2 linked regions of the Rattus norvegicus genome follow. The protein of the gene in region 2 interacts with the protein of the main gene of each other region in a pairwise test. Links are inferred from orthologs where the notes say so. Each region holds a gene or a part of one and is shown on either strand. Other genes may lie near its edges.

The links.
Region 1: the proteins of Rbfox2 (region 2) and Hnrnpf interact in binary tests that used the Homo sapiens proteins (3 or more experiments, as listed by UniProt). The link is inferred for Rattus norvegicus from reciprocal best matches to the Homo sapiens genes RBFOX2 and HNRNPF.

Annotation. Positions count from the first base shown.
Region 1 is NC_086022.1:152,772,626-152,778,229, reverse strand, and holds the end of Hnrnpf (heterogeneous nuclear ribonucleoprotein F), read right to left. Parts: exon of another isoform or gene 3,278-5,604; 5' UTR 3,229-3,277; coding exon 1,981-3,228; 3' UTR 1,363-1,980; downstream 1-1,362.
Region 2 is NC_086025.1:110,744,583-110,750,866, reverse strand, and holds part of Rbfox2 (RNA binding protein fox-1 homolog 2), read left to right. Parts: intron 1-3,290; coding exon 3,291-3,515; intron 3,516-6,284. UniProt on the Homo sapiens protein: RNA-binding protein that regulates alternative splicing events by binding to 5'-UGCAUGU-3' elements. Prevents binding of U2AF2 to the 3'-splice site.

The DNA of each region.
Region 1 (5,604 bases), on a different chromosome or scaffold from region 2:
ACACGAGGCCTTACATAAGCCAGTCTCCAGCAGATACATGCCCAGCACAACATGCAGTATTTTTACCTCTGTCTTATAAAATGTCCACTGTGCTGAAACAGGTTTTGATGCTTAAATGCTGTGATATACAATTACTAAGCTCCTTGGTTTCTTAACAAGAGTTAACTATAGGCAATGAATGGATGACCAGGGCTATTTGAATAGATTTAGACAGGAAGTCAGATTAGCTTTACACTAACCAACTCCTCTCTGCTACTGGACTTTCCTGATATGAGACCTGAGTTTGTCCAGCCTCTACTACACAGGTTGGGTCATAGGCAGTCCCTCATTCCTATGTAAATCCAGTCAGCACACCACCAATCTAGTGCACCCTGAGCAGTTTAAGTGGTCTGAGTCCACCAAGAGATCTTGAGTTCAGTAGCTGGTGGAACCATTTCAAAGTGCAACCTTCCGCAAGTGGGACCTAGCTTTAACTGGTATATTGGAGAAGTTTATACCTTCCTTACTGTCCCACCCTTCCCTTCACCTTTTCCCACTTCCTGTGTGCCAGGGTCTCTTTCTACCACTAGCCACAATAGTTCGTCCTAGCTCTGGGGTGAAGCAATCAGTGAAAATTCTGAAAATGTGGACCAAGTCTTTATTAGTACTGAAGCCTGAGGGAATGGTATTAGGGTTCACACTTTGGACACTTGCTGAGTTGAAGAAACTGTCAGGAGGCACAGGTACTTGTTGCCAAGTTCAGTCCTTTGAACACATCCAGAACAACCTTCTGCACCTTATTAATAACTGCCATGCATAAGCTCCAAGTAGAAACATACAGGAGCTACAGTTGGCTCCATATTTAATAGCACTTCTCAAAAAGAAACATCCACATGGATGCAATGCCCACTCGATCAGAAAAGTAAAGTATGAGACCCCTCATGACTCAAGTAGGGTTCCCAGTAACCATGGCACTCCAGTTACTGGCGAACCCAATGCCCTCTTCTGGTCACCATCTAGAGACACAAAGCTGTACACACAGCATCCTTCTATACATGCAAGAAAAAAAATGCGCAGTTTTTCAATAGTTTACAGTGTACTATATATAAGAAAAGGACTGAGCTTCCTTGTCTATGGTGGACTGTTTGTGGTCAATGTCTGGAACAAGGCATATACCACTTATTTTAAAAGCCATAAATGCCGGGCCTAGAACTATGGAGACCAAGATGACCACCTTGAGCTCATGTCATCTTCAGCTTCCCAATCTTCCTGAGACACCACCCAGCTACCACTACTTTCAAGTCCCCTTTGGAAGATGACGTTAACAAGTCTTTCTCTTCCACCCAGGTTGCTACCTTTTGCTGAGTAGATAAGCTGTGCCAGTCATTGTGAAAAAGTCTTTATTTTAAGAAAAAAATTTAGTTAACAAAAAATTTAACAAGTTTCACTTAGCAAAATACACCCAAAAGGAAATCACAGTACAAAGAAAGCTTTAAGTCAAGGCCTCACCAATTCCTACAGTATTAGTATTGTGTCTCAATTCTCAAAACTAACTTTTAAAAAGCTTAAACTTAACCTAAAGATTTTAAATGAAAATATAAACTAGAATGAACATGAGAAATGCTTCTCTTTGCATCAGGGATCTAGCACCTTGAGTTCTCCAGAAAAGTACATGCCCCCAGTGTGTTCACTGTGGTGTGCTGAAAGATCCACTCAACATACTTAAACTACTTAACTCAGATAACATCACTCTTAAGTATACTACCAAAAATGTTAATTGAGAAAAGCGGAAGAAAATAGTTTTTAGTTTACTCAATATTACATGCTAGAAGAAAAGTTTGCATGAGAAACACTGAAGAGGTAATTTTTTAATCCAGATTTCACAAACTCATGGTGCAAAGTGGGTCCCCCAGCTTCCTCTAGAGTTATAAACTGCTCTTGACTGTTTATTGGCTGCCTGTGAAATTTTCTGATTGAAATAACCCAAATGTTCCTACAATACTAATCATATCCACCCATGCTGTTCTGACCGCTGTAGCCGGCCCCGTAACAGCCACTCACTGACTGGCTCTCCAGGCCACTGTAAGTTGCCTGGGCAGCTGACACACCCATGCCCTGCATCACCTGGCTGCTATAAGCCCCATTGCTAGCTCCTGTTGTTGAATTCAGGAAGAGTTCTATGTATCTGTGCTGCATGTTGGCCCTGTCCTTGGACATAGCTGCCACTGCTTCTTCATGAGTAGCAAACTCAACATCAGCTTCTCCGGTCACTCTTCCATCAGGACCAATCTCAATATGAACTCTCACAGGGTTGAGTGGAGAGAAGAAGTTGTAAATGTCGTTCTCCGTTGCTTTGTAGGGCAGCCCTCTCATGTGGACGCAGTGGCCGGTGGTGCTCTGCACTGTGAACTCGCTGTCTCCGTATCTGTGATCATACATTCCTGAGAGACAATAGCTGAGGTCTCTCCCAAACAGGTCAGTGGTGAAGCCATAGCCATCACTGAGGCCACTGTATTCTTCATAGCCCCCATAGCCTGCACTATAGGCACCAGACCTCATCCTATCCAGGCCTGCCTGTTTCACAATGCCAATGTACCTCCGGGCTGTGCCAGGCCTGTCATAAGGCCCAGGCCTCTGCACAGACATAAACTTCAGAGGTGGATCTGAGTATGACCTAACTTCCTCCTGACTGCTCTTGAACACTTCAATATACCTGTGCCCTATTCTCTCCTTGTGCTTCCCTAAAGCTTTCTCGGCTAACTCTTGTGAGGCAAACTGAACGAAGGCCTCCCCTGTAATCTTGCCTTCCGGGTCCACAGGTAGTGTGATCCCGTTTGGCACAATTTCCAACCCTGAGAAGAACTGAACGATTTCTTCCTTTGTGCATCCAAACGGGAGTCCCCGAAGCCTCACAAAGCCATCATTGGCACTGTCGGCGCTGTTTGGACCACTGTGCTTCAACACCCAATCCATCTCGGTTCTGTGTGACTTGAACACCTCAATATACCGGTGTCCCATGCTTTCCCTGTCTTTTTTCAGAGCCAATTTTACATCATCTTCTGACTCAAGTTCAACAAAAGCCTCACCACTCTGCCTGCCTTCTCTAGTATAAATGAAATGAACACCTGCGACCCCATCATGAATTGTGCAGTCGGAGAGGAAGTTTTGTACGTCCTCAATTGAGCAGGACCAGGGTAGGCCACGGAGTTTGACCACATAGCCTTCACCTCCCTCAGGGCCCAGCATCATGGACACTTGACAGGGTTGATGTCACACAAGCTTGGGCAATTTTTTGTAGCTGAAAGAAAGAAAAAAAGCCTACTTTATACAATATTCATTTAATGCACAGTAAAAATATTCATTAAATTGTTTCCCATTTCACAGACAGAAAATGAGTAAAAATAAAACATTACAAATGTGCTAGTTATAGTCATACTCCTTTTTTCAGACAGGTACTGTTTTCTGTGAGTTCCAAGCCAGTCTAGTTTACAAATGAGATTCCCCCTCTAAAGGAGGCAGCTAGCAGCAAAGCTCCACTCTTAAGTGGACCTGATTGGCCTGAACTCCCCCCCCCATCTTTAAAAAGTAAACTCCCAAGGTGGACTTCCACACCAGGCCTAAATCACAACAAACAAAATCCCAGACAGTCAAAAAAGCCACCTGGTGGCCTTTTAAAGAAATGTAGTGCTAAAGCAAAAAGACAGAAAAAGACCAGGCAGGGTGGGTTATAGTTCTGTGGCAAAGCCCTTGCCTAATATAGGCCAGGTTTGACTCAGCATCAAAACGAAGACCTATTACCACAAAAGGCCAAAATAATCAAGACCTTTAAAGCATGGATATTTGACAGGTATGGGGGGGGGGGGACGACTAGGTAAATAGTTCCAGCTCTCTTCAACAAATTAGAGGCTTACATGGGACTCTCTCAAAAATTAAACTAGGGGATAGCAAGACAAGAAGAGTGGGTAAATAAGATCCCTTGTCACCAAATCTCAATCCCCAAGTTTCTTTGACCCCCCTAAGGCCCATAGTGGAGAGCTTTAATTCTTCCCCTGTCCTCCACAAGCACACTCACTATACTTATAAATAAAAACAAAAAAAAAAACAAAAAAAAAACCACATTTAAAAAAATGTAAGAGCCAGGCTCGGAGGGTGGTAGCACACACCTTTAGTCCAGTACTCAGGAAATAAAGAGGCAAGTATATAACTAGTCCCAGGCCAGGCAGAGCTATAGAGCCATACCCTGTGTCTCAAAACATTTAAGACTAGACAGACAGCATGAGCCAGGGAAGGCAGTACACACTTGTAACCAACACGTAAAATTCCAGGATGTGGAGTTCATGGTCTGTTCTGGCTACCTAATTAAACCAACAGGAACCTCAGACTTTATTTTTAAAGTTTAGGAAAAACTTTACTCTTAAATATGTAAGAGTATTTGAAAAGGAAACATGCTATCATTTTAACCCTAATCTGCTCTACTGACAAAACTACTTACCTGTGTCCCAACAACAGTGTAATGGCTCTAATGGCACTAAACTGGCTTGTGAATATTTTACATTAAAAAAAAATCTGCATTGCCTGTGGCCTGAAGATAAAAATATAGTGCAAGCTCTAAGAGATGAGTGGGGAATAGCCTGTAGTCTTTAATATGCGTTTTAATATGCGTAACTATATAGAAACAAACATGTAAATTGAACTGTAAGTTGCAGGCACTTGGAAGTTGCCCAATTCTAAGCTTTTTTTTACCTGAAGTCCACTACAGCAAAAATAACTAATCTCATGTGGTGTTGCTATAAAAAAGTTCTAGTACTTCTCCTTGCTCACTAAGAATCAGAGCACATGTGTGCCTGCTGGAGTAATGGGCTGATGATTATGTTGCCAGTGTCAGATAGGGGTATGTACAGCTCCATTTTCAAGTCTGTCCTGTCATCAGAGATCCCATTTTTGGTCACACTTTTATGGAAAAATGGGTTCTGGTTCCAGATTTTAGAAGCAACCACCTGTTGGGAGATCTAAACATCTATTTGCTGTTGAACTCCCTAGACATTGCTACCAATAGTTTACAAATATCTAGGTAAAAAAAATCTCACTGTGCAAACCCTAAGTGTATCCTGTTTTTCTAACAGCCTTTGTCCTTCAGCCTTTTCCTCCCTCTTCATTCCATATAACCCACCTCAAACTTTCTATCATTTTAGCCTCTTCCAATCAACAACCTATATGCAGTTTTTTAATGTACAGCTAGGTTGATTCTACTGAACAGACCCTTGGCTGTAGGGAGTAGTTCTACTGTACCAGAGAGGCGGTCTTTAGTTCTCATTCAGGTGACTTCAGACATTTTGAACCAGTCCATTTGTTTCTGAAGGTTGACCTATGCCCTGCTTATTGCTGCAACCCTAGACTCGACCCACTAGAGGGCAGGAGCACTCCTCAACCCACCTTCCATAATCTATCTACCACTGTGTAGTGAATGCTGGCTCTCAGGTTACTATCAGGCCTTAAATACTACCTAGTTTGAACTGGTGGTGCCTTATTGCCTCAGATACTCTGGAGGCAAGTTAAGTTCAAAGCCAGTAAGTTCAATTTGAGATGGCATAACTTAGTGAAAGTCTGCTGGGGAGTGGGGAGGGT
Region 2 (6,284 bases):
TGGGTAGAATTACTCTTCCCTAAGCTTTACCAGAAATACTTCAGGATTAGATACCAGCACTCCCACTGTGTGTATCAGGCTATGGAACTTTGATATTGGCAAGGAAACCATACTTGTAGCCTCTTCCTCTAGATTTTTCAGGCAGTTATAAGAAAATAAATAAAATATGAAGGGCATATTAGGTAATTTGGCTGATTACAGATTTTTTTAAAAAACAGAATATTTTAGATACGGACCAGGTTTGAGGGTAGCACAGTAGATTTGAGCGTGTAGTTGAGACCAGAGTTGATCTGCCGTAAGTCTATGCTTCACTGTTATTTTGTCTCCCGTGTTTTACTCTGCTTGTTCTCTTCATCACTCTTCTATAAACTGCTTTTGAATTATTGTATGTGTATGGGTGTTTTGCCTGTACATGTACCATGGGTGTCTTGTGGCCGTGAAAGGCAAGAAGAGGTTTTGGATCCCCTGGGATTGGATTAACAGACAGGTGTGACCTACCTTGTGGGTGCTGGGAATTGAACTTGGGTCTTCTGGCAGAGCAGCCAGTGATTTTAAGTGCTGAGCTATTTCTTCAGCCTTACAAGCCGCTTTTTAAAATCGAATCTAGATTTTCTTTCTTTATGTATCTGTGTCTGGTGTGCATTATAGGTGTGTGTATGTTATTATGTGGGGGATGCACATCTGTGTGAGTGCACATGTGTGCACATGCATGTGAAGGTCCAAGGGTGATGTCAGTAGTCTTCTTCACTTGCTTTGCCACTGTATCCTTAAAGTGGGGTCACACTCAAGCCTAGAGCTTGCAACCAGGGGCAGTCTAGCTAGTCAGCATGCTCTAGGAATCAGTCTATGCTTTCAGGCCACCAGGACAACGAACTATTATTGTGCTCGGAGTTTCCAAACTTGGCAAAACTCGTACTTGCCAGACAGGTGCAATGGTTGTGGAGCCATCTCCCCAGCCCTGGTAGCAGTTGTTCCATGCTTTCTTCCTTTTAGCTCTAATGGGCCTCTTCATTCAGGTTCCCGGGTGAGAGCCTTCATACATCTTCTCACTGCTCACCTGTGCTTATGTATGTCTTATGTCTGTGGGTGCATACACAGATGTTCTTCTGTATATGTGAATGCATGTGGAGGTTGTAAGTTGACATACAGTGTCTTCTTCAGTTGCTTTCCACCTTAGTTTTGAGACAGGATCTCTAATGTAACCTGAAACTCATCTTTTGACAAGACTGACTGGCCAGCAATCCCAGGGATCCTCCTATCTCTGCCTATCCAGCCCCAAGCACTTCAGCATCTGAACTGTCTTCCCTGTGTTGGTTTTAGAAAGGCAGGCCAAGTTTGAAAGCCTACCTAAGCAAATGCCAGGGAATAAATATGTAAAATGCTTAAGAGCAAAACTTTTTAGCATCCTAGTTAAACTGGGGGATATTCTTTTAAGCACTTGTTTTATGATTGAGGGCTGTCTGATTGGGGTGCCTTAGGATCTGCAGCCCGCTGTTTAGATTATGTTTGTAAGTTGGAGTCAAGATTACCAAATGGAAAAATTAGAATGAAGTCAAAAAGGAATGGAAAGACAACAAAAAAATACCTTCTCTTTTCTTCATCACATGGACTTCACCCTAGAAAGACTAATAATTTACCTTTCCAGGCGCCTAGCCCAGAGTATAAAGCGTAGGGGCCAGAGATGCGCGACTTGATAAGAAAACTTGCTGATTGGTGCTGCTTAGTCTCTGTCAGCTTGACACAAACTAGAGTTACATGGGAAGAGGGGTCAACTAAGGAATTGCCTGTCAGGCTGACCTGGAAACATGGCTGTAGGCCAGTGTTTTATTAATGATTACAGTGGGAAAACCCAGCCTACTGTGGGCAGTGACACTCTGGGTAGGTGGTCCTGGGTTGTATAAGAAAGCAGGGCAGAGCAAGCCAGTAAGTAATGCTCCTCCATCAATTCCTGCCTCCATCAGGAGCTCACAATACCTACTCCAGCTCCTGAATGTTTGGTGCCGTCTTCTGGCTTCTGCAAGGACATAACAGATGTATACATATACATACATTTTAAAAATAATACAAATATTTTAAAAGCATTTCACATATGTAGAGGTAATCATATCAATTATGATAAGTTGGCTGGAAGCCATTGTATTTCCCTTTCAACTTAAAACTTTGACATGTGGACTGAAAATTGATTTGAACACATTCTTAAATTGTTTTTATTATTATGAATGTTAATGACTTCATATTTCTAATAGAAACAATAATTATAATATATTTGGTAGAGTAAATGCTATAAAACATTGTCCCCAGTCTGTTCTCTTAGCATATAGACAGCTATTTAAGTCTTGCTATTAGCCACATTTCTCTAAGTAAAATGAAATCCTGACACACACATACACACACACACACACACACACACACACACACACACACACACACCCAATGGAACCCTCACAGAAGACAGAGTCTGACTGTGGTTGCATCTCTGTGGTGCTTAGACTATGGGTATACACTAAAAGCATTACCTTCTCCTGATCCCCACCACTAGCTGATGTGTTTATTCAGCTAGCTGAGCCAGCTCTGGCAGAAATAGCCCCACAGGATGATTCATGCTGTATACTTGTGTACCAGAGTCTCACTCCCATCAGGGATGGGGTGAAAAATGGAGGTTAGAGTTCAAGAAGAGCAGTGTCAGAGCCAGAGGCAAGTCCTTTGCTTGCTAATCTGAACCTGGAAGCTGTGTCTTTAAACCTTTGTATGTCTCTTCATAGACCCTTTCTGGAGATTTCTGAAAGGTGATCGATCCTTAGGCTCTGCTCATCTATTAGTCTGCCTGAATTTGAATTTTTGTCTGTTGCACGCCTGTCTTCGTATTAATCAATCCTCTAATGGCCTTGGAAGCAGGATGTCCTGCCAACTATGGGTATAGGCAGAACACCAAATGAGATGGAAGAGATGATTAAATATTAAACTCTTGGCTATCAAGGTGGCTCAGCAGGTAAAGGTACTTATCACCAAATCTGAGTTTGATCCCAGGGACTCGTGTTGAAAGAGGATGTGGAATCAAGTTGCCCTCCTACCTCCACACTACTGTACCATAATTCTCACAAGCAAAACACACATAAAATTAAGTTAATCAGTTGATTTTTTTTTTTTTTAAAGAATGATGATCCCAGCAGTTTTTTTCTGAGTGGGGGACAGTGAGAGAACATGCCAAAAGACCTGTGTTCTTACCTTGAAAGTCATTTTATGATAAAGATTTATTCACTCACTCCTTTCTCTTCTGTTGCTTGCTCTAGGGTAACCAGGAGCCAACAACAACTCCTGACGCAATGGTTCAGCCTTTTACTACCATCCCATTCCCACCACCTCCACAGAACGGAATTCCCACAGAATATGGAGTGCCACACACTCAGGACTATGCCGGCCAGACCAGTGAACATAACCTGACACTCTACGGGAGTTCACAGCCCCATGGAGAACAGAGTAGCAATTCACCCAGCAACCAGAATGGATCTCTCACGGTATGTGAAGTCGGAGACGCAAGGTGAAATGTTCACCTTCTCAGAAGACAGACAGAAAGCCTTGAGTTAGTTTAGCCTTGCTATGCGTTGCCCAGCGTGCATGTGCTGACTGTTCTTTCCTAAGCTGCACAGTGCAGAGTTTGAACTAAGCCTCACCACTGCTGCCTGGAAGCAACCTTCCTGCACCCTCCATTGTATGAATCCGCACCCAGCCTCATCTGCACAGTCTCACAGGCTGCCTCACACAGCCTCCTCCTTGCTCCTTGGCGCTCTAGGCCATTTAAATGACTTGTACTTCCCTCCTGGTTTTCCTACTCAGCAACGGGTGTTGTGATGCTTCCTTCTCCTCTTGTTCAAATTTCAGATGTGGCAGCGTTCTGAGTGCCTTCTCTGCATCCTTACCCCACCAACTCACTCTTTACTTAAGCCAAAGCCAGGTGTCACCGATCCTCACTCTTCATGTCTACCCTCAGTCATGAAGGACGTTAGCAAGCGCAGTTCCACAGTGGTGCAAAGTACAGTAGTGCTCAGTTCTCCCCGGCGGAGGGCAGAGGGCGGAGGGCGGAGGGCGGAGGGCGGAGCTCTTCTGCTAGCCGCTTGGGGTTGATTCAGCTGACTAGAGATTAAATCACAGCCTGGCCTCAGAAGAATGAGTTTAGGCAAGTTATTTAATGTTCCTTTGCCTTGAAATAGAAGAAAAGGAAGGTCATAATGCCTACCTCAAAAGCTGTCAAGAACATTCTCATGAACTTGGTGGCACAGGCTTGTATCTTTGCAACCCAGGAGTCTGAGGCAGGTGGGTTGCCATAATTTAAGGTGTACTGGAGCTACAAAGAGAATTCAAAGCCAGCCATGATTCATTAACAAGATCCTGTCTGAAACTTACAAGTATAAAGGGTGCTGGACATGCACACTGCACTCTCAAGCTGCCACTGCCTCTGTTTTCTCAAGCACAGTATTTATATTGATTATTTGGGAATTTCATATAATGACCCTGATTACTCACTTCCCAGTCCTCCCAGTCCACACCCCTGCCACAGAACCCATCGGTGATGGAGAGCTGCCCTTCAGCATCCTTATCACAGCTTCTAAGAATTTTCTTAATTTCCAGTCTAGGCTTCATAGCAGCCACAATGGTGTGTGTGTGTGTGTGTGTGTGTGTGTGTGTGTGTGTGTGTGTGTGTGTGTGTGATCTTTTGTGTTTTCTCGTCTATGCTATGGGTGTTTCTGCCACCTCTTTAATAATCTAGTACAGTTAGAAAAACATCCAAGCTCTGCACTTGGTTTTCTAGTCTCCAGCTGCCCACCTCTGACTTTACCCTTACCACTTGACAAAGGGAAGAAAGTGTCCCAAGCAAACAAGATACACACCTACCTTACCATAGCTGCAGTCGCCGCATGGTCTGTGGGGTGGGGTTCCAAGTGAAATGCACGCTTGTCGGCATCGAGCTGCTGTCCTGTTTAGATGGCACCAGATTAGCACAGGGCACCTTATTCAGACTTCAAGCATCTGGAAAAGACTCACTTCTAGAAACTAAACTTCTCCCTTGTATCATATGCACAGAGCCTGCAAAGGCTTTCACTTAATTTTCAGACAATTAGACACCTCCATGGGAAAAACAAAAACCATATTTACTTGAAAACATGCCATCTTTCCTATGATGGCTACTTCTGTGTAGACACATAATTTTATACCCATAAGTAACGTGCAATAATGGACAGTTGGTTTGAAGGAAGAGTCTGGATCTGAGAGTTAACAAGAGGCTTCTTGTAGCATTTGTTTGGGTGTGGGCTGTACAAGCTGCTCTGTCAGCTGTGTTCGTGCCTTTCAGATGACAGTGAGCTCACAAGCTCACTAGAACAACTGCTTCTACCAAAGGACTAGAAAGCGGAAAAATCTATCCCAGTCTTATTGATATTTTAGCACCCACTCCAGTTGTAGGATAGTCAATGGTCTTTGTTATTGCTGTTTCTTCATTTCTGCTTTTGTTGTTTTGTCTTTTATCCTTTGGGGGACAGTTTCAGTCTTTTGTGTGTCTTTTTGGGAAACTATTTTCTCTGAGTCAATTTTCACAAGTAGAAAATTACTAGAGTTGATTTTCACTAATACAAAATTACTGGGCATATAAATCAGCTTATGAGTACGTGCCTTACATACATGAAGCCATGGGTTTCATTCCTCAGAACTGCATAAATCCGGACATGATGGTGCATATCTATAACCCAAGCCCTCAGAGGTGGAAGGAAGCTCACAAGTTTAAGGTCATTCCTGGGAGCCAAGGGAATTCCAGGCTAGCCTTGTTCATAATACATGATCTCAAAACATAATCATAACAATATATGATTCCTTTTTATTTTTCAGAGATCATAATAACCCCTTATATTTTAAGACAAAGAAGTGAGGTACATCCTAATGGATGGGAATAGTGGCTCTTGTCTCTCCCTCACAGGTGCTGAGACTACAGGAGTGTGCCACTGTCCCCCAGCTCCTTCACACACAGTCATACATGCATACATTTTTTTCCTTGAGACAGGATTTCTCTGTGTAGCCTTAGCTTCCTTGGAACTTGCTATGTAAACCAAACTGGCCCTAAGAACTCACAGAGGTCCACCTGCCTCTGCTTCCTAAATGCATGTACCATTAAAAGCATGTACCATCATGCCTGTCTGTAGACGAAACTTTTGTATGATGTATGGACTTTTCAGTACACTAAGTCAATAAAGATGCCTTTGGCCAATAAGCTGAAGCAGAATTAGAAACTGGACACC